Linked DNA regions of Drosophila melanogaster. The protein of the gene in region 1 purifies or fractionates together with the protein of each later gene. This does not show direct contact. Each region holds a gene or a part of one and is shown in the gene's direction. Other genes may lie near its edges. The genes, in order: Rsph3, Rsph1 and Rsbp15.

Region 1 (9,090 bases):
GACTAATGTGGTGAATCTAGGCCACTCAATATTTTCCAGATTACGCTTACATTTATTTTCACAGATTTACCCATAACTACATATTTTATGATCCTGTTGGCGCCACAGTCGCACATAAATAACTCATAAAAAAGTGCCCACAACAGCAGCCCGCAGATAATTCAACAATTGTGTCTGCCGAATGTTTTTTACGATCCGCAACCGTTAGGAACCCGAAGATCACTTTCCCTTCGACAAGCGGTAATAAATTAATCAAATCCCGTGCTGGACGTAATTTTTCCAGGGAAAATTGCAGCTCACACCTACACAGTGAAATGGATAGTATCTTGAGGAATATCGAGGAGTATCCGCAGTAAATGATTTGTTTGACAAGAAGCCAACAAACTCAGTGGGATGCCTTTGCCCGGTGACTTCGCAGAATCCGTATCGTATCTGAGCAAATGATCGGGAAATTGCGGGACAAGATCTCAGTCGCCAGTTGTCGCCTGTGTGGCCATCATTAACCTTTGAACTCACTAAATGGCCAAAGGACCACAGCGAATGTCAAACGTCATGGCCACTTATCGAGTGCGGACTGTTGTTCCTGTGATCTTATTAGGCATTTTCGGGAATTTCAAGGGGTTCGCTTCGGACGCAATTATCACCCCCGCATAAAGCGAAACGTCATCGTTGACAGCCACGTCATTGTTGTCCAGTCCGAAGACCAAAGTCCTTCGAACTATTTGTTAATGAATAGACAGAACCATACAAAAGATTCTGTGTAACTCGAAACAGAAAAAGGGGGTCAATTCAAATGACAAACGTTCGATAGTCCGAGATATGATAAGCCTTGAAAACCTAATTAAATGACACGTTCCAGGGAAATTCGATTCAGGCGTGGCTACATCGAAACGTTTTAACTGATGGCAAGCGATTTAACTTAGTGATAAATAGTTTAGAAAATTCAAAGTCATTTTAATATCAAGGAATTAGTGAGATTTTTTGATGTCCCCAAGGCAATTGTGCAACCAAATAGACCAAAAATGTAATTTATCTGCAAACTTACCACTAATCGATGATAACAATTTTGAAATAAAATTTTTTTATAAACTTTTTTCTTTGTTACTGTAAACTATTTAATATTAGCCAATAAATAGTAGCATTGAAAACTGCTTGCAATTTAGGTTCGGGTTTACTGCTTGCTGACAAGTAAAACAAAGTATACATATGTATAATATACATTTTACTGTAAAAAAATATTCACATTGTAAGTGTATAATGTCATGTAGAAAAATATAGTTATTTTGCTTAGGACTTGTAAAATGTTTTAACCATTTTAGACCTTAATGAATAATTTTAAAAATTGTAAAATTTATACAAAAAACATAAATAATTATTTTTCTGCCATCCTGCTTAAATTTAACGATGCGCTTAAAGTGTCAATTAAAAATCTATCTATGAATCAAAATCCCGAACAGCAGCTGTATCTGCAGAATGCATGCAATGTAGTTGGAATAATAAATCAGTAATAATAAAATGATAATGATAAATAATAAATAAATTATATTGGTATTTGGTCAAGTCCAGCTAAAAGCTAATAAAGCTCCTTAGAAAAAGTTGCTTTGCATTAGTTTCTCCTTGCTAGGAAGATATAAAAATAGATTCCTCATACTGAATGATAGTTAGTTGTGTATAATATATGGGAATGTGTAGTGACCATTCGCTAAGCGAAAGTTAGAAGGAAAAATTGCAAATGTCTCGATAGACTTTCAGTCAAAAAACGAACAAAATCTATCGAGTGTTAATACGAATAAAGTGCATTGCCAAAGACCCATCCCCACACAGCAACAGTTTAACAATGCCGACTTTCAATTCCCATGGCAACTGAGGAAATTCCGCCGTCGTTGTTTATTTTGGATACAAATTTTTTGATAATACAATATTTTTTTAAATATGGAGATAAAAACATAGGACAAAGAACTCCAGTGAAAATGTGTCACATAAATAAATCTATTTTGTACACATAAATTTGGCAAGCGGTAGACCTTTATCCGATATATATATTTTAAGTTTTTAAAAACCTCAATAACGCAACATAGCAATAGTTAGCAATGCCGACGATCCCGAAGAGGGATTACAAACCCAATGGTGGTGGCAAAAGCTCAGGAATGGATTTCCTCAGTTCCGGCATCAAGGGAACCGAGGTCACCGAGATGCAGCTCAAGTGGCACGAGAATCCTTGTCCAGCGCCACCATGCAAACAGGCATTTTGGTGGGCCAGCCATCCCAAGCCGATCAAAATCAAAGGTTGCCCCAAGTAAGTATCAAACAGAAGCCACCCAAAGAATTTCCCATGCTTCCCTGTAATTCCCTGTAATTTAAGTCCGACAAGTAGGGTATATTGAATATTTCGTAAAATTATATTATAATATTAATCAACTTTCTTACTTTCTTTGTAATTTATATAATATATAATAATTCAATAAGTAGTTAAGAAATCATTTATACGCTACAAATATGAACCATTAGAAATTGTAAGCTCGAGTTAATTATCATGGGTATTACTCCTCTTGTAATGAGTATCCTATAGTTGCAAAACCATTGCTTTTTGTAACGCCTTGCAGGGGAATTTTCTACACCTTTATATGTCTCCCCACTGGGGTCAATGGAACCCAAGACCAAAAACGAAAGTCATAAATTGCGTAAATAAATTATTAAACGCTGGCCGTGTTCGGCTGATGGTCAATACAATGGCCCCACTAAAGGACACGCAAACTTGGTACGATTTTGAATAGAAACATTCGTGTTCTGAAGGGAAACAATAGAAGGAGTGCACAGGACAGGAAATTATGAGGAGTGTGGAAGTCGATGAGTGCTTAAAACTATTGTAGAAATTGACGCACTAGTATCATAAAAATATACAAATATATCTGACTACCGATAATGACGGGGGCTGGACTTGGGTCGGATTAAGGTCAACCAGGGAATAAGGATGATCCCCAAATATGATAAAAACCCAATAAACTATAGTGTATCTAAATCCAGTTGTAGTAAAGTGCTCATTCTTCTCTCAAGCTAAAAATCGAATAAATACTACAGTGTGGTATATCTTATATCTTATCATTTATTCGAATATATTAGTACATCAATTCTGAACTGTATATGTTCAAATTAGGATAAGAATACCGTGCTTTAGGTCAGCCAACGAATTTAATCATATAGAAGTATGATTGAGTGAAAGAAAATTACCTTTTTTAACAACAGGCTTTACCAAAAGCTTTTGGACTTCTGATACATTCTTACCAATTCCTGTTACAATAATCTTTCATCTATTCACTGACCTTTCTTCATTGCCAGTAAAAAAGAGTGACTCCTTGGAGTGCCAAGAAATCTACTTAATTATGCTTAGTTCCCTGTTGAATTCCGCTTATCAGGCAGTCCAAGCAATTGACCTTGGCCATTGACAATACCTAGGAGGTGTTCCAAGTAATAGAGAGCCACCCACCTCCTTTTTCAATGTCAGGCAGGGAAATGCGTGAAGTCATCTCCGACAATGTGAAAGGAAATGTGGACACCATCGAAACAAATTCAAGGTCCCTCCGCCGGGCGAAACCTTTAATTGGAGACCCCAACGAAACTACTTGGATGGAAAAGAAAAAGCTCTTATGCAAAGTAGAATTCCTGGGAACGTGGATTTGGCCATGCCAATGCCACCGACTGTTAACAGTTCGCATTATTATTGCAACACCTGCCCATCATGTGCCTCAAACTGCGAAGCAAGCGATACACTCAGAAAAAAATTTGAAAAATATGTGTATATAGTATAGAAACTTACATTGTGGCACGCACGCGAAGTATTGTTATTTAAACTTATGAAACAGCAACATGAATAGTTTAAATATGCAATTTTCTATATAAACCAATTGCAGCACTTTAAGGATATTTTTACTAAAAATGTCCTTTGAAGTAACAGCTCAATTCCTGGAAAGCTTTAGTCGTGGGCAGTAGGAGACTATATGTTCCACATATTTTTCCAACTGCACGACGACTGCTGACCACGGGCCGAATCCAAAGTCGAAACCGGGTCCGAGCGCGAGTTCCACGAGTCCTGCGAGTCCTTTGGTCATTTGGCGTTTGCCATTCGAGCCGTGCGGTACGTGTTCCGCGACAAAATCAAACAATCAACCAACGAACGCAACACCTGAGCGGCGCACAAAAGGGAAAAATATAGGAAAAGTATTGATTAAGTTTTTCGGTGCGGCGGGTGAGAGAACCGTGTGGTGGCTATTTATAATGAACGAGGTGACCGGCGGCCGGGAGCAGGGATAACCGAGACGGTAGCGGAGACCATGCCAGAGACGGAGCAGCAGCAGCACCCAGCACACTCACATCCTGAACTTAAGCCAGATCCACAGCCAGTGCCAGAACTGGAGCACCTCACCGACAATAGACCGAATCGCGTGCAGAACTTCTCCTTCGCCAGCAGCTATCCCTACGCACCAGGACGCGTCTCGTCCAGCTCCAATTCGAACACCAACTACAGCTCCACCAACTACAACGCCGGCGGCTTCAACGTCCAGCGCTATCAGAGTCCCTACAATTTCCAGCACGTGGTGACCAACGCATTCTCGGTGCTGCGCCATCAGCCCTCCGAGGAGCCCGAATTCGATTCCTATCCAACGCGACCCCAACAGGCCATCGTGCGTCCGATTAGACGTGAGGCGGGCATAGCTGATAACCGTGATAATCATGTAGGGAATCCTCCACAGCGATCGCACTTCTCGCGCAGCAACCAGGAGGTGCGCAGCTTCGCCGATGAGCTGAGCCAGAAGCTGCGCTTCCTGGCGCCGGAGGAGCAGAACTACGGCGGTCGCCAGAGCGCCAATTCCGGTGCCTGGATGGATCCAGCGATGTCGCAGCGACCACGATTCGAGACCACAGTGCCGCAGGGCATCTTCCTGCCGCCTCCGCATGAGGTCCAAATGATACCGGCCACCATGCTGAGGAGGCATGTCTACGCCTACTCCTCATATCCCATGATCCTCCAAGGGTATCTCACCAAGGAGACCGGCAGTGAGAGCAAGGAGCAGAAGGTGACCGCCACCCGGCTGAACGGTTTGCGTGCCACGGCGGCAGTGGCGGCGGCCACAGCTGCGGCCTCCAAATCCTCCCGTAACGATACGCAATCCCTCGCCGGTGGACTCCACATCACCAAGGCTCAGTTCCAACAACAACTGCAACAGCGTCGCTCCACCAGCAACAACAACAACAACAGCAGCAGCAACATCAGCGACAAGAGGTAATAAAAAGACCAACCCCCAAAATGGTATGGGTGCTAAACTTGGAAGTAAAAAAAAAAAAGGTGGGAAGTGGAAAAGGTCCGACAACTGACCAAGGCAAAGTGGGCCAAAATATATTACCATAAATTCAAATGAGTAATACGTACGTACCTACACTGCCATTCTGCAATGGAACCAGAACTTAGCTCCCCACTTCAGTTCCTACGGCCATTATCGATTGACACCCAAACAATTCAATTACAAATAGGTTTTGTGGTTTAAAGTGCCGAATTGAATCCTTCAAGGATTTGTTATCTAAACTGATATAGATTCAAGATGATACCTTATTGATCTGTTTTTAGACTTTACTATGACACGCAAATAGAATGGAAGGCTCTTCATCAGCCAAGTTTCTTGTGTGGCTCACCCACTTTCACAATTAACTCTTTAACAATTCAATTAGAAATGCTTTTCCAATAACATTCGGACATTGTAAATTCCCTGAACGGTTTGATTAATTTATTTAGCGCATTCTCGAATGGGAAAACTCGTTTGCCTTGCATAAAAGAACATGCGAACAAATGGACAAATGGACAAAGGGACAAAGGACCCTCGAATGTGTCGTGCCAGCGGAGAATATTCTATATTCCCAGCTCGGGGCTTAAATAATTTAAATCAAGATTTCGTAAACAACAACAATATGTACCCATTGTACCAAAGCACAAATGGAGGGATATTAAGTTCAATTACCACACCAGAGAAGAAGGACACCTATGGCACAATAATAAAAAAAAAAAAAAAAACAAAAAACAGGTCCTGCCGGTCGTTTTTACCCAAATGGGATGTTGTTCGGCCAAATGGGCTATACTTTTTGGGTTACGAAAAATGAAATATCACACTCAACGTTTAAATAAAGAACCTATTAGGGAGATAACTATTTTATAACTCAAAAAGGATTCACCAACTTAGATTTTCGTTCAGACCATATATCCCTCATAAGGACATCGCACTAAGGGTTTCCCGTTCCATTTGCTGATGTCTGTGGTGCGCAGACCCAGACCCAGAGAAATGTTGTTAGACATTCGCCAGCAACTTCAATGTGACTTCCTGTTTGTGGGCCAAAAGTAGCTGCGAATTTGCATAGGTCACGAGTTCAGGTGCCAAGTTCTTCTAGTGCAATGTCTAACTACGTTATATACTACTTCTACTCGCAGTCAGCATGTATGTATCAGCATATATGTAGAAATGTAAGAAATGTTTGTTTCCCCATTTACTTGCCGGTGCTATACATATAAATTAGCAAGTCATAAATTACTCAGCCACCGCGGACTGGACTCGTGGAACTTTAAGCAGGCTTTAAACTCTGACCCAAAAGTGTACTGAACTTTGGCGAAATTGATTCGAATCGGAGATGACCTGACAAGCAGTCTGCGAGGGCGTTGGGAAATGAACAAATTTGATGTTTATCGCCTTGATAGTGCAACAGATTTGGGTCTTGGCAAATGCAGCAAAGTGCACTGAAACTGCAGCAAATCAAAACTAAATAAATAAAATATTTAAACTTTAATAGAAAGAAGTTAACAAATCTAAAGATAACTAAAACTCATACACTTTTAACTTGCTTTTCCAGCAGCAATTACAATATTTATCCATACATAGATATCATATTTATTAGAGAACTTAACCATTTATGTAGTAATCCTTTTAAGTTGCACATTTACGAACCTTTTCAAAAAGTCTGCAGCTTTTTTGCTGCATGAGCAGTTTGTTGAACTGGGTCGAGGCTTACTAATTGGTGGCTCCCACCTGGGCAACTCCATGCCCGCTTCTCCACTTTGCTCCTCTTGCAGACCCGTCGTCCCGCCGCCGGAACCCTACAAGAACGTCATGTACGACCGTCGCGTCATAAAGGGCAGCAACTTCGGCAACGCCTCTCTGGTGGTAAGTCCCATCAGTTCAGCTCAGCTTAGCTCAGTGCTCTGGCAGCCCTGACCTACGACTAATCCACTTTTTGCTTCCTCTCCAGACGGATGTGGATCCCTTCGACAAGGCCGCCGAATTGAGGCGTCGCAATATGTTGCGCAAACGGACGATGCAGTGCCGCAATCAGAGAAATGTCCTGGGCACACCGCCGCCGGTCAAGGGGCGGAAGCACGAGACCATACAGACGGAGAAGTATCTGGAGAAGTTGGTGCAGCGTCCGCCGGAGTTCACCATCGACACGCAGACGGACCTGTTCCTCGAGAAGCCGCCGACGCCTCCGTTCATACCGGCCAAGGTGGGCGTGGATGTGGCCACCGAGATCGGTGAGGGCGAACTCTTCCACTTCGATGCCGAGGCGCAGCCAATCATCGATGTCCTGGTGGACGCCTGCATTGAACAAAGCATGCTGGAGGTGGCTCACGAGATGGAACTGTCCAGTCTGCGACGCAAACAGGAAGAGTACGTATAAAAAGTGTAAAGTAAATCTTCAGATTACTATAATGGCGTTTTGTGTTACCCACAGATTCCTGGCCCAGAGGGAGGCGGAACTGGCCGAGCTGCGCCGTTTGGAGGCTGAGGAGCTGCGCTTGCAGGCGGAGAAGGAGCGTCGCCTGCGACAAGATGCGATTGCCAAGGAGCTGGACGCTGAGATGCAGAAGAGCGTGACGGCGGCCAAGTTGCTCCAGGGACACATTGCCAGTCTGGTGCCGGAGGTGCTGGAGAACATTGAGCCGGCCAGCGATGCCGTTAAGAAGGAGCAGCTTATGAAGAGCGTCTGCCCGTGGTTGTCCGCCGAGGTGGCCGAGGAAGTGGGCCATATAGTGGACTCGCGCGAGATTCTCACCGCCATCATTCAGGAGATTATCAAGCAGCGTGCCGAGATCTATGCCGGCTACAAGGAACCTGAATCGGAACCATCCGGACCGGATGCGGGCGTTTGTGAGGAGGAGGGCTGTGCCATCGATGAGATGGAGGCGTGTCCCTGCGAATCGGAAACGGAAATGGAGGAGTGCCCCGAACCGCCACCACCGGCTCCTCATCTCTAAGTGATTGCGTTCGAGTTTTAGTTCATATATATATTTCGAGTGGGATACTGATTCCGCACACATGTAACACTAACACACTCCTGCTATTAAATCAAGGTTGGCTGCAACTTTGTGGTTGTGTCTGGTGAAGAACTCAATTCGCCGCAGGATTCGAATCGAGCCTGGGCGCCAAACACAATTGCATAGCGGCGGCGGCGAAATGGCATCGAAAAAATGGAATGGCATATTGTAAACTGGATACTTGTTAAAGGTTTTTGTGTTACCGAAAATTCAACCAATAAAGCTCAACAAAATAAGCCGAACAAAACATTTTAGAAAATATTTTAAACGGTTGTTAAATTAAATTAAAATATTAATAGAGCCAAGCAATTTGAAATTTCAATGTTACCTTGGTATTTAAGGGGTCTGCATGTACGGTCACACTGCACGTGACGTCACATTGTTTTTTCCATACCGAATTAATGAATCACCACTGACCGAATTTCCTTGTTTTCACAACTAATTCGGAAGTCCAGGGTGTAGTGAAGATGTTTTCCAGCGGCCCCAATTACAACAAACTGAAGACCAATCTTCGATTGGCTCTCAATCGCCTGAAATTGCTGGAGAAGAAGAAGGCGGAGCTGACGCAAAAGTCCAGGAAGGAAATAGCCGACTATTTGGCCACGGGCAAAACGGAAAGGGCGAGGATTCGCGTGGAGCACATCATTAGGTGGGTGCAGGAATATATGAGCCATTCTTATACCTCCATATATCGTATATATCGTACATCATAGGGAGGACTACTTGGTGGAGGCAATGGAAAT
Region 2 (5,875 bases), on another chromosome or scaffold:
AGATGAAACCTATTTTGATTTCTTCAAGGTGCCTTGTACTACGTCTTCATGGGCATGTTGGCGGTATTCTGCACAAATGCCATCAACATCCTGGCGGGCATCAATGGCCTGGAGGTGGGACAATCCTTTATTATTGCAGGCTCCATTCTGGTCTTCAATGCCATTGAACTGTTGCTCGGTCACCAGGTGGATTCGCATATATTCTCCATTTACTTCATGCTGCCTTTCCTGGCCACCACCCTAGCGCTATGGAAGTTCAACAAGTGAGTAATCCAATTGATTTTTATTTTTATAAATACTGAATTGATCTGGAAGGTCAACAAATTTTCGTCTAATTATAATTAGGGTACGTTAGTAATAAAGTAATAACACAAATTCAAAATTGCTTCAAAATTGTAACCAAAACTAAGCTTAAATTTGCTTGCCTTCTGATAATTGGTATTAATATTTAAAGTAAGTCTAAAAAGCTTTTTCATACAGATCGTGTGTGTTATGTCTTAAAAATAATGCTAAATTGCGATCAACCCATTTCACAACTTTTTCCAGCAAATTTGAGACTTCTCTCAGTTGGTTGCATCGACTTCCTCTCATAAATTCATTGTTTAGTTCTGGTTTTTCTTATCACAGATGGCGGGTCTGTCTGTCCTGTCTGCTGAGATACTAAATTTGGAATTCACCTGGCCAAAAACACAGAAGGGCATTCGCATGAGTGGATTAGGCAGAGTATGATATGATGATTATGAGATTGTTAGACTTTGATGGGGATTCAAAAGCAGGCACATATAAATATATATATTCGTAGGTTTATGCTGGTTCGATAGGCTGCCATGCCCAAGTCAAACTTCGGCAGGCGTAGTTAGTCTTCGTCCTGCAGATCTTCCAGGACGTCCACATCGTATAGGTTCACCAGCAGCTGGCCGTACTGGCTGCTGTGCTGGAGCGCCTCCTCCGGAGCGAAATACTTCTCGCTCTGCTCCCGCAAGCGGTGCAGCTGCGTGGTGCCATCGATGTGAACTCCATTGGCTATCAGTTGCTGCATGTAGTTGGCATCGATGTGGGCATTGCGGGTATCGTTGGGTAGTTTTACTGGCAGCTTGCGGGGACTGGAGCTCTGCAGCAGGAGCACAATCTGCTCGGGAGGCAGGCACAGCTCGCAGTTCCAGCCGCCGTAGTGGTTGAGATCACCCAGTGTGCTGCTCGCCAGCCGGTGCAGGCGGTGAGCATCCAGTTGGGCACTGTGCAGGTGCCCCAAGGAACTTATCACCCCATTTAGGAGGGTCTTCTTCGGATGCTGCCAGTAGAATCCATATACATTGTACTTCAAACGAAATTTCAGCGGCAGCACATCCTTGGCATAGTACTTCAGAAACTTGAGTGCTGCTGGCGCGTAGACCGTTCCACTGTCCCCGTGCAGCAGCAGGTCCTGTGCCTGCATTTGGACACCACACTGCTGCCACAGCTGCCGCCTAAAGTGACTGTAGGCCATTGAGCTGGTGCAGTTGCTCTCGGAGGAGCAGCGTAGTAGCGTATAGCTCGTTTGGCTGCCCAGCATGCTCTCCAGACTCCGCTCCTTGCTGCCGTTGCTCACATAGTATATGAGAAAGTAGTCCACAACCTCGATGAGCGCTCGAATTTGCAGCTCCAAGAGCTCCAGACTTAGGTGGTCCCAGGCGCCCAATTCAAGCATATAGAACAGGCGGTGCAGTGAAGAAGAACTGGCCTCGACCAGTTGAAGCGGTGTGCTACCGCCTCGTTTACTGGCCCGATTGGACGTCATCAGGGCTCGCCATATGATCTCCGGCTGGCCGCAATCTCTGCCGTGCCAGCCACTTTCACATCTGCATTGAGGCGGCGCCATCAGATAGTCCACATCGTTGAGCCGCTGGCTCTCGTTGATGGTCCCCTCGCGATAGCACCAGAGGTTTGGGGTTAGACCCATCTCCGCGTCCACATAGGCGGGCACATTGTAGTCGGGCAGGTGGGATTCGTTCAGTCGTTCCGGTTTCATTTGATAAAAGTCCTTGTCGTAGCGGTTGACATTCTCCTGCAGATGCGGACAGTGGGTTCCGCCCACAAGTGCCATCTTCTCCATAGGGGCTTCACCGCTGGCCACGAAGTTGACCCGTCCGCCAAGTTGGTCCATTGCACTGCGCTGCTGCGACTCCTGGCCACGGCTCATCTGCAGCAGCCATATGCAGCCGATGAAGCCCACCTGCAGCACCAGCACCAACCAGAGCACCAGCTTCTTGGTGATGGCCAGCCGTCCAACGCCGGCTACCGGTGTCTGGTTGTAGGTGGCCAGGAATGTGCTTCTCACCATGGTCACTGGTTCACTTTCTGCAGTTCATCCTGCTCATTCCGTTTCGATTTTTCGTACTTTTCACGCTTTTCTTCTGCTGGCAAACACGCCCAAAAATTTTACGGCACCCCTCAACTCCCCCGCACAGCTGACGCAAATGTCCTCAGTCAGCTGTTCGCCGCTGCAGTTGTAAATCTGGCTGTTTCGCATCGATGGGCCTTACAACACTGGTTGTTACTGTTATCGAATTATTAAGGATGTTATTTGAAACTTAAAAATACGTTATAATCTCTTTTCGTCAGCTTAAATTTAATAATTATCATATTCACAAAAAATAAAACTTTTATGTAATAAAGTTCGGATAATAATGTTAATTTTTCTGTCATGCGTAATTTTGTTGTTAATTCCTAATATTTTTTTTACTTCTAACTAACTTTTCGTTTGTAATATATTTTCTATCTTACTTATTTCGCAGATATCCATCGCAGGTGTTTGTTGGGGACACCTACTGCTACTTTGCCGGCATGACTTTCGCCGTGGTTGGAATCCTGGGCCACTTCAGCAAGACGCTGCTGCTCTTCTTCCTGCCGCAGATCCTGAATTTCCTGTACTCCACGCCGCAGCTGTTCCACTTTGTGCCATGTCCGCGTCACCGGCTGCCCAAGTACGACAGCAAGACGGATCTGCTCCACATCAGCACCACGGAGTTTCGCCTGGAGGATCTCAACGCTCCGGGTCGCCTGATGGTCACAGTACTGCGGAACTTGCGACTAATAAGCTGGCATACCAAAGCGGACGGAGTTGTTAGGACCAACAACTTTACGCTCATTAACTTTGTCCTAGTCGTTTTCGGACCTGTCCACGAGCGAGTGGTCACCCAGATGCTGATGGGATTCCAGGTGCTGTGTACACTGATTGCCCTGACCATACGATATCCACTGGCCAACTACTTCTATGCGAAAACGTAGCCCTCGATTTCATCATTCTTCGATTCTGATATTTATTGTAGTAAGCCTTTGCTAAGTTAACTATACAAACAGAATACATTTATTTAATGCCTACACAAAATATTTCCCGAACGTAATTCGTAAGTAAAAATCTACTTCACTCGGCAATAAAAAGAACCGAAAGGAGTTAGTTAACTCAAAATCATCACCATGGCCATGACCGAAATGTCCGAGGAGGATCTGTCGGCGCCCGAGGAAGAGGAGGATTTGGGACCCAATATAGGCGTAAGTTCCAAAATGGATGAGTTTCTTAGTAGTGCATCTTCCTTCCTCAAAAGAAATAAATTTTTAGTGGAGTAACTTTAATACGAACATTCTCTAGTAGTAACAGTTTTTAGTAAGCAAGGAGCTCAATTAAAACAAATATCTATAATAATCCTCAATCCCAGCTCTACATAGGCGGTCGAAATGCTGCCGGACAGAGACAAGGTAGAGGTTGGGCCATCCTGCCCAACGGAGATCAGTATGATGGGAACTACAGGAAGGGTCGCCGTCACGGCATCGGGGTGTACGTGTTCAAGGATGGTTCACGATACTACGGACAGTATCGCTGCGGGAAGCGTTGTGGGCGCGGCATCTTCATCTATCCGGACGGATCCGTGTACGAGGGCAACTGGCGAAAGAACTTGAAGCACGGCAAGGGCCGGTACAAGTATGTGAATGGGGACAACTATTCGGGTGACTGGTTCAAGGGACAACGTCATGGGGTGGGCATCTATCACTTTAACAGCGGAAAGGATGGCTGCTGCCTGTCCGTCAGAATGAAGGCCACCTGGAACAGCAACATGCGAACGGGTCCCTTCGAGCTGTATATCGGCAATGAGGACAAGTGCACAATACTTCACGGAATTTGGGATAACCTGTACCCGAGTGGACCGGCCGTGTTTAGCTTCAACAATCGATACCTTCTGCTGGGCTATTTCCTGCCCGCCAGTTACAACATGAAGGCGATCAGCAACGAAGACGAGATGGAGGACGCCGAGGAGCGCTTGGAGGACGAGATGGGTGAAGCGGAGCCAATGGAACCAACACTATGGTTCGCCCAGGAGATGGCCGTGTATGACTTTTCGCTGCTGCCGCAGGAGCCAGTGCCTCTGGCCATTTCCGATTCCGAGCTGTCCGTCTGCTCGCTCTCCACTGAGCCGAGCATGCGCAGCGAGGAGAAGATCAGTTGGTATGGAGAGGGTGAAGAGGCCGAGGGCGAGGAGGGCGGCGAGATGGAGTGCTTCCCATGCGAGTGCGATCTCACCGATGTCAGCGAGGTGGAGACGGAGAGCGAGGTGTGCAAAATCGACGCCAATCCATGCTGCATTGAGATCCTCAAGCAACCAGAGTGTCCAGATCCTTAGGAATGTAGCTGCGCTATTCCACATGCATTTGTTATTGTTATTTTATGTTGCCTGCAAATGAAAGAATATATCAGTATATCTGAAAAACAAAAAAACATATATTAAGTCGGTGGCCGTAGAATGATTTTATCTTGGAATAAGGAATTCGGCAATTGATATAAGTTATGGTTTATTTGTTATATACGCTTTTATTTTCATACAGTTCAATTAAAATTTGTCAGTTTCATTTTAAAATACGCCTTGCACTTTACAGTTTTGATGCTTTAAACTCGTTAAGTAATGAAATCACAAATGGGGGGCTCTCTTTTCAAGTTTTATTGACGTGATGATACCTCAGCGATAGAATCCAGCTGTGAATAGATCTCAATTTTAAATTCATTAAGCTTGGTTTTTGATCAGCTCATCGGTCGGTGTAATCGTATGACTTGTTCCGATATACATATATATTTTCTAATGTTCAGCACTTGAATTTCTGCGTTTTGCTAATTAACTCTAAGTTTAATTATTGTTGTCCGCCCTACCATTGTAGCGTAACCATTAACATTAACTTCATTTGCAGATGCGTGTTTGATTTACGTACTTCTATACAGTTTATATCTTCGTTACTAATGTTTAATTTAAAAAAATCTCTAGGTGCTGGCATGGTCAGGCTTGGGGGGAGTAGATGGTAATGAGGCGTCATTTGCCAGCTTACTGCTGACCTGGCAGACATCGCCGCAACTGGCGGCCAAGCTGTTGGACTCACAACTGGACTCGGATGGTGGAGTCTCGCTATTCCCTGCGTCGCCCTCCTGTTCCGCTTTGCACAACGACGCCGTGCCGCATTCGTCCAGGATAATGTTCAGCTTCTCCGTCCTCGCCTGCATCACAGGAGCAACGGTTGAGGTCAGCGAAGTGGTCTCCACGGGATTTATGCGAAGCATTTGGTATGGTGCTTCGCCCTCCTTCTGCAACTCATGCAGTGTGCTACCATCTCGCTGTTTGGAAACCTTATAAATGGCCGGACATGACTTTGAGGTCTTCACATCGTTCAAGTCCTTCAGTTCGGGCATCCCCAGTGGTTTACCGCTGATCTTCCTTAGCGGCTGCATCTCCTGCTCTTGATTATTGTCCTCCACGCTTATGAACTGCGATAGAGCCCCTGCTGCCGCCAAAGCCGCCGCCTGGCCACTGCTGCTGGCGCCTTCGGGATTCATATAGAGCATGGAGGCATTGTAAAG
Region 3 (5,918 bases), on another chromosome or scaffold:
ATCTCGGACACGCTGTGCTGCTCAAACAGCGTGTCCACGTTCAGGTTTAACAAATTGGCCGTCATTTAGCCGTCAAATTAGTTTTATTTAAATTAAGAAAACAATAACAAGGGAGCAGCTGTAATAAAATCGAATTATGTATCGATGACTGGCAACATCGATATTTTCTCTCATGACTGTCTATGACTGTTAAATTTATGTTAGTTTACATTTCTCTGTTGGTAAAAATGTTAGATATGCTGTCATGTGCAAGCCGTTACATTTCAATATAACATAAAGAGTTATAGTTAGGGGAATTACCTCATTTAATCGAAAAAAGATATTTTTCTAAATCCAGGTTTCATTTGTTTAAATATACTTTATTAAATGCATTTGTCTGGCATAGATAAACTAATTTACATACACAACAAGTGTAAAAGCAAGAATTCTGATTGGTTTGGCAGCAGTAATAAAGAAAAACCAACAATGGCTTTCACTCCTTTCCCAATTCCCGCAGCACTGCGTTGGCGATCACAATTCTTTGGATCTCCGAGGTTCCCTCGTAAATCTCTGTGACGCGGGCGTTGCGGTAGTAAAGCTCCGCAGGCAGATCGGTGGTGTACCCCATCCCACCCAGGATCTGGATGCACTGGTGGGCACAAAAGGTGGCGGACTCGGAGGCATGCAGCTTGGCCATGGCCGCCTCCTTTGTGATTGGCAGCCCATTATCCTTCAGCCAAGCGGCACGCCACGTTAGCAGCCTTGAGATCTCCACCCGCGTGGCCATGTCGGCCAGCTTCTGCTGGATGAGCTGCAACCGTGCCAGATGCTTTCCGAAGGCCACCCTCTTCTGCGAATAATCCACGGCTAGTTCCAGGGCAGCTTGTGCGATACCGGTGGCCTGGGCGGCTATACCGATCCTGCCACAGTCCAAGGACTGCATGGCGATCTTGAAGCCATCACCGGCAGCTCCAAGGACCCGGGATCGCGGCACGTGAACGTCCTCCAGCACCAGCTGGCAAGTCGAAGTCGCGCGCATGCCCATTTTGCTTTCCTTCTTGGCTATGGAGAGTCCTGGAACATCCTTGGGCGTAAGAAAGGCAGTGATTCCCTTGTGTTTCATGCTCTTGTCCACCGTGGCAAAGACGATACCCCCGCTGGCCTCCTTGGAGTTTGATATCCACGCTTTAGTGCCGTTTATTTGGTAGCTGTCCCCTTGCAGCTTGGCCGTGGTGCTGGCAGCTCCTGCATCCGATCCGTTTCCAGGTTCCGATAGTGCATAGAAGGCGATGTGCTCACCCTGGGTGTACGGCACCAGGAAATCCTGCTTCTGCTGCTCGGTTCCATGCTGCTGCACTGCACCCAGGTACAGGTTATTCACGCCCATCACAATGGACACGGCGGCGTCACCACGAGCCACCTCCTCCATGCCAATCGCGTAGGCCTGGTAATCCAATCCGGAACCACCTGAAAAATCAATATTTAATGAATGGAATCTAGTAGTATGATCTATTTATATACCATTTCAAAAATGAAAACATCACATATTTTATGTTATGTAAATATTGTAAATATTATAATTGAAATAGGAACTCACCATACTCCTCTCGAACCGTCACTGACATGAGACCGAGTTCTCCCAACCGTCGGACCTGTTCCGCCGGATAAAGCTCCTCCCGGTCGTGGTGTCGCGCTTTGGGGGCCAGTTCCGCATTGGCGAACTCCCGGCAAGTCTTCTGGAGAATCTGGTGGGTCTCGGAGAGGGCGGCCAGGCATGCGATTCCCCGGTTTCCACCAGCGATTATCCTCGCACTCCATGCGCCGCTCGAGCGTTGACCTGCAAAGACGGAGGCGGCAAATCGATCATCCAGTCAGCCGGGAATCACCCAGTTCCTCACCCAACGTCCGCGCCACTCTGATCAGCTGCTGCATTCCGTCGCCAACTGATCCCAAGCCCGTGGTGCCGGTTGCGATCGAGGTAGTGAAAGCTTTTTCGCACTCGTCGACGAGCCGATCGAAATACAACCGAGGAAAACAGCTTTTATACGCAGCTTTTTGAGGCGAAGTTCATGGGAGGAGATTGAAAGGGGGTCCCGTTTATTAAAAACTACTAATCGATTTTGTAAAATGGTTCTTTTAAATTGATTTTAATTGAGTATAAGAATTACTAAAATCATTTTAGTTGTTTCAAATTTGTAATTTATAATCGGTTTTTAACAAATTTTAAAGTTTCATTTAAAAATGGTATTGATAAGCGCCGAAGTCACCACTGCGCCACTGTGTTCGTATAAAGTGTTTCAACTATATAGTACTACCTAAAATGATCGAAAGTATTTTGTTTTGGCGCTAACTTTGTGAAATTACCAAGTTTCTGGGTTAAAGATCATTTGAAAGAACAGAAAGGGAAAGCGGTTCAATGGATTTCGATAAAGAAGAATCCACCAAGAACCCTGTTGATTTCCTATACCGGCTGAATACGAAATTAGGCAATGCTAATTTCCGATACACACCCACTTTCATTGAAAGGTACAAGGTGCATTTTACCCACATGAAACACAAGTACACATTACAATTTTTCAACTTACATATTACAAAGTTAGTGGACTTTGGGAATTTTCAGGAACACGTGTGAGACAGTTTTTTGAAACATTTAAGCTCATGGATCAAATTGAGAATATATAACCCATTATTGTTTTTCACCATTTAAACATTTAAACCAGCTTTTTGCTAGCGCCATCTAGGTTAAGTAAACAGAACTGAGCACCTTACATCAGCAAGGTATTTCGCAGTCAGTCCGTGTAAAAATCATTGTAGAGCGCTGTAAATTATTATTTTCATTTGCTCTTAACGTAGTAGACCGGTTAAAAGGGATTTCAAAACTGAACCATTTCCGAATTATTATCTTCTTCTCAGCTAAACTGTTCAAAATTATAGAATTTTGCTTTATACTTTTGAAAAACGAAGATGAATTACTTGATCCAGCGTGGCAAGATGCGCCAGCAGGCGATTAATGTTCCAGAGGGTCTGCCGGAACTTCTATCAGATGTTACACGGGAGGTGCTAAGGTGTCAGCCGAAGAAAGAGTGCCTCTGCCAGTTCATCATCGACTATCTACATTCGGTGATCGTGACAAGGGAAAAGGCTATGGGTAAGTACTCCCACAGGATGTAGAAAGTATCAAACTTTTCTTTACGCACGCCTGTATTTTCTTACAGTGGCCAAGACCATTTTGGATCGCTCTCTGCGCCAGGTGGACAGCATAATATCGGACCTCTGTGTCTGTGATCTCTCCAAGGAGAAGTCCGAGTTGATGGGCCAGGTTCTAGAGGACTGTTTCCGTAACTTCCTCGAGAAACGACGCTGCGAGATGCGGCGTGGCAAGCAGGCGATTAAGTTCGAGGATGTGGACATCCTAGAGGAGCTGCTGCAGAAGTGCAAGTTTACCGACGAGGAGCTGGTCATGTCACGGCCGGCCATCGAGAGTGCCTACAAGCGCTTCGTGGACGCCTATATGTCCGCCGAACGTGGAGCCGATGGAACGGAGCTACTCTACCAGTACTTCCGGGACAGGGAACTGAAGCGTATCAACGAGGCCATGCGCAACCAGGCAGCCATCACGATCCAGGCGGCTTGGCGAGGATACTGGGTTCGCCTCCAGTTCCCGCAAGAAGTTTGCGTTTGTGTCTGCGCAGCGGTAAGTGAATCTACTTCTAAAAGTCTGCCCCTAAACTTGGTTATGACTTAAATCCAACAGGAAAAAGAGGACGACGGGGAGGAAAAGCGCAGGGAACAGGCAGCGAGCGTTCTTCAGAGATTCTTCCGCAAGGTTATGTTGGTATGTAACAAGAGTTAAAAACTATTTTACATTATATATATTTATATTTTAAACTGTTTTTCTTAATTTTTTACGCCAAATTTGCAGCGCGTGGTTACCAAGCCAATCGTAGACCCCTGTGCCGAACCAACGGAACCAACTGAAGTGGATGCTAGCTCTTCACCGGATACAGCAAAGGATGGCTATGACGACGTAAATCTCTCGACAGTACCGACAACTGCTGCGATAACAGCCGGACCAACACCATTACCAACTGCTCCCGGAACTGTGCCGCCATCTGCCCCAGGCACTGCTCCGGCCACGGCCAGAACTTCGGCCACTGCTATAGCAGAGCCAGAAGCTCATGAAGAGGCTGCGGAAGCTCAGCCAGCGGAGGAAGCTCCTGCAGCAGAGGCGCCTGCTGATGAAGCAGCACCAGCTCCGGCTGAGGAGGCTGCCCCACCGCCAGCAGAAGAGGCTGCACCGGAAGCCGCCGAAGAGCCGGCACCTCCACCACCACCAGAAGAAGCAGCGGCACCGCCACCGCCCGCTGAGGAGCCCGCTCCGACAGAGGGAGCAGCTCCTCCCGCTGAAGAAGCTCCCGCAGAAGAAGCTCCCGCAGCTGAGTAGATGAAACCATGCTGTGTTTATTAATTTTCCCTTAGTTGTTAAATTGATGTTATCTGCAAGTGAATAAACTGATCGAAAAGTGCTGGAATCCTCTTCTCCTTCAGGATTTTGTTTGATTTCCTATCCAGTCACTGAAGGTAGACACTCTGGTGTAGACATCCGGAGAGATGTATAGACCACACACCACCAGCCCGTAGGATACTATGCCCACTTGCTGTAATCCATTTTTGGATTCCATTACCAAAGGACCGCCAGAGTCGCCCTGGAAACAAGATCAATCTATGATCTAGCTAGTGTATTATCATCCAACTCACCGAACAGGCTCCCCTAAAAGGTCCTCTGGCGCAGATCTCCGTATCCGTAACGCTCTCCATGCCCGCATTCCTGCACTCACTGTTCGAGATGGTGTGGTAACTCATGCGCTGAAGAACATTGGGATAGTTCACATTATCCAAGAAGGGAAAGGGCACTGGTAAGCGGAGGCCCCATCCCGTCAAGGTTACTGGAACTCCTCCACCAACGAAGTCTTTCCCCTGCGATCGATACTCAATTGCACTAATGGTCGAGTTATTTAACTTCAGCGGAGGTTTGATGGACAGCACGGCAAGATCGCTGGTAACCAGTTCCTGATACTTGGGATGGATGCTGTAGGATAGCACCTGGGAGCGGGAACCCTTCTCGTTCAGTCCTCGAATTCCGGCCACAACAGACATGCGACTGGCGTTGAGACCCTGACAACAGTGAGCTGCAGTAAGGATGCGATTGGGAGCGATGATGGATCCACCGCAGAAGTGCATCTGACCACCGCGTGTTCTGTACTGCAGCGAAACCTGGTAGGGCACATGTTCGCCTGGTGGGATGTCAGCGCCTCCAACAATACGATGTGGAGTATACCCACTGGGTTGACGAGCTTTAACAATATACACGTCTGTTACCAGGGGATTCTGAGTTACTGATTCCAATTCAAACTCACAATTCAGTCTCCCGAAGACTCCTCCCAAAGCTACAACTCCGATCAGCAGTAGTTGTTCAGTTAGACCCATCGTTGTTTGGCTAATGCCACTGGCTTTGCACCTGCCACACTTCTTAAATAAGAGCTTAGCCCACATTGGCGAAAGAATTTGCATATGTATCGCAAAATATCTGGGTCACCTTGGCTACTTGGTTATGCCATTATATTTGATCTTGAAATTGAAATTATAATGAGAGCTTCTGCTGGTAACGCAGCCCAGATACCTGGTATGCAAATATCTAATTACGAATTTGCAAGACATATTTACGGACAACGATAATGCCACATTTGACTGACTTGGTAAAGTAGAGTTTATCAGAATATATTTGAATAACTCGCGATCGATATTCCAATATTTGTTTTGACAATTTGTACATTGTGATATTGCTTTAGACCATTCTTTCCTTAATCCAACCGTCAAACATGGACACTCTGGTATAGACATCAGGATTGTTCGAGGCACAGAATGCAGTTCCATAGGAG

The links.
Region 2: the proteins of Rsph3 (region 1) and Rsph1 purify together in Drosophila melanogaster (affinity purification with western blotting; one study listed by BioGRID). This does not show direct contact.
Region 3: the proteins of Rsph3 (region 1) and Rsbp15 purify together in Drosophila melanogaster (affinity purification with western blotting; one study listed by BioGRID). This does not show direct contact.

What each region holds. Positions count from the first base shown.
Region 1 is NT_037436.4:6,756,129-6,765,218, reverse strand, and holds Rsph3 (radial spoke head protein 3), read left to right. Parts: upstream 1-4,104; 5' UTR 4,105-4,328; coding exon 4,329-5,278; intron 5,279-7,108; coding exon 7,109-7,199; intron 7,200-7,284; coding exon 7,285-7,700; intron 7,701-7,764; coding exon 7,765-8,287; 3' UTR 8,288-8,590; downstream 8,591-9,090. Other genes in the region: Ist1, read left to right, coding at 8,815-8,996, 9,061-9,090.
Region 2 is NT_033779.5:13,180,133-13,186,007, forward strand, and holds Rsph1 (radial spoke head protein 1), read left to right. Parts: upstream 1-3,317; 5' UTR 3,318-3,456; coding exon 3,457-3,531; intron 3,532-3,695; coding exon 3,696-4,655; 3' UTR 4,656-4,743; downstream 4,744-5,875. Other genes in the region: Alg7 dolichyl-phosphate N-acetylglucosaminephosphotransferase, read left to right, coding at 29-263, 2,775-3,267; Mgat3 (beta-1,4-mannosyl-glycoprotein 4-beta-N-acetylglucosaminyltransferase), read right to left, coding at 857-2,320; CG16974 (uncharacterized protein), read right to left, coding at 5,285-5,875.
Region 3 is NT_033777.3:12,219,540-12,225,457, forward strand, and holds Rsbp15 (radial spoke binding protein 15), read left to right. Parts: upstream 1-2,847; 5' UTR 2,848-2,943; coding exon 2,944-3,127; intron 3,128-3,194; coding exon 3,195-3,673; intron 3,674-3,733; coding exon 3,734-3,814; intron 3,815-3,901; coding exon 3,902-4,423; 3' UTR 4,424-4,509; downstream 4,510-5,918. Other genes in the region: Cog1 (component of oligomeric golgi complex 1), read right to left, coding at 1-65; CG4860 (uncharacterized protein), read right to left, coding at 473-1,446, 1,577-1,816, 1,878-1,911; CG17404 (uncharacterized protein), read right to left, coding at 4,524-4,685, 4,738-5,333, 5,397-5,466; CG12256 (uncharacterized protein), read right to left, coding at 5,825-5,918.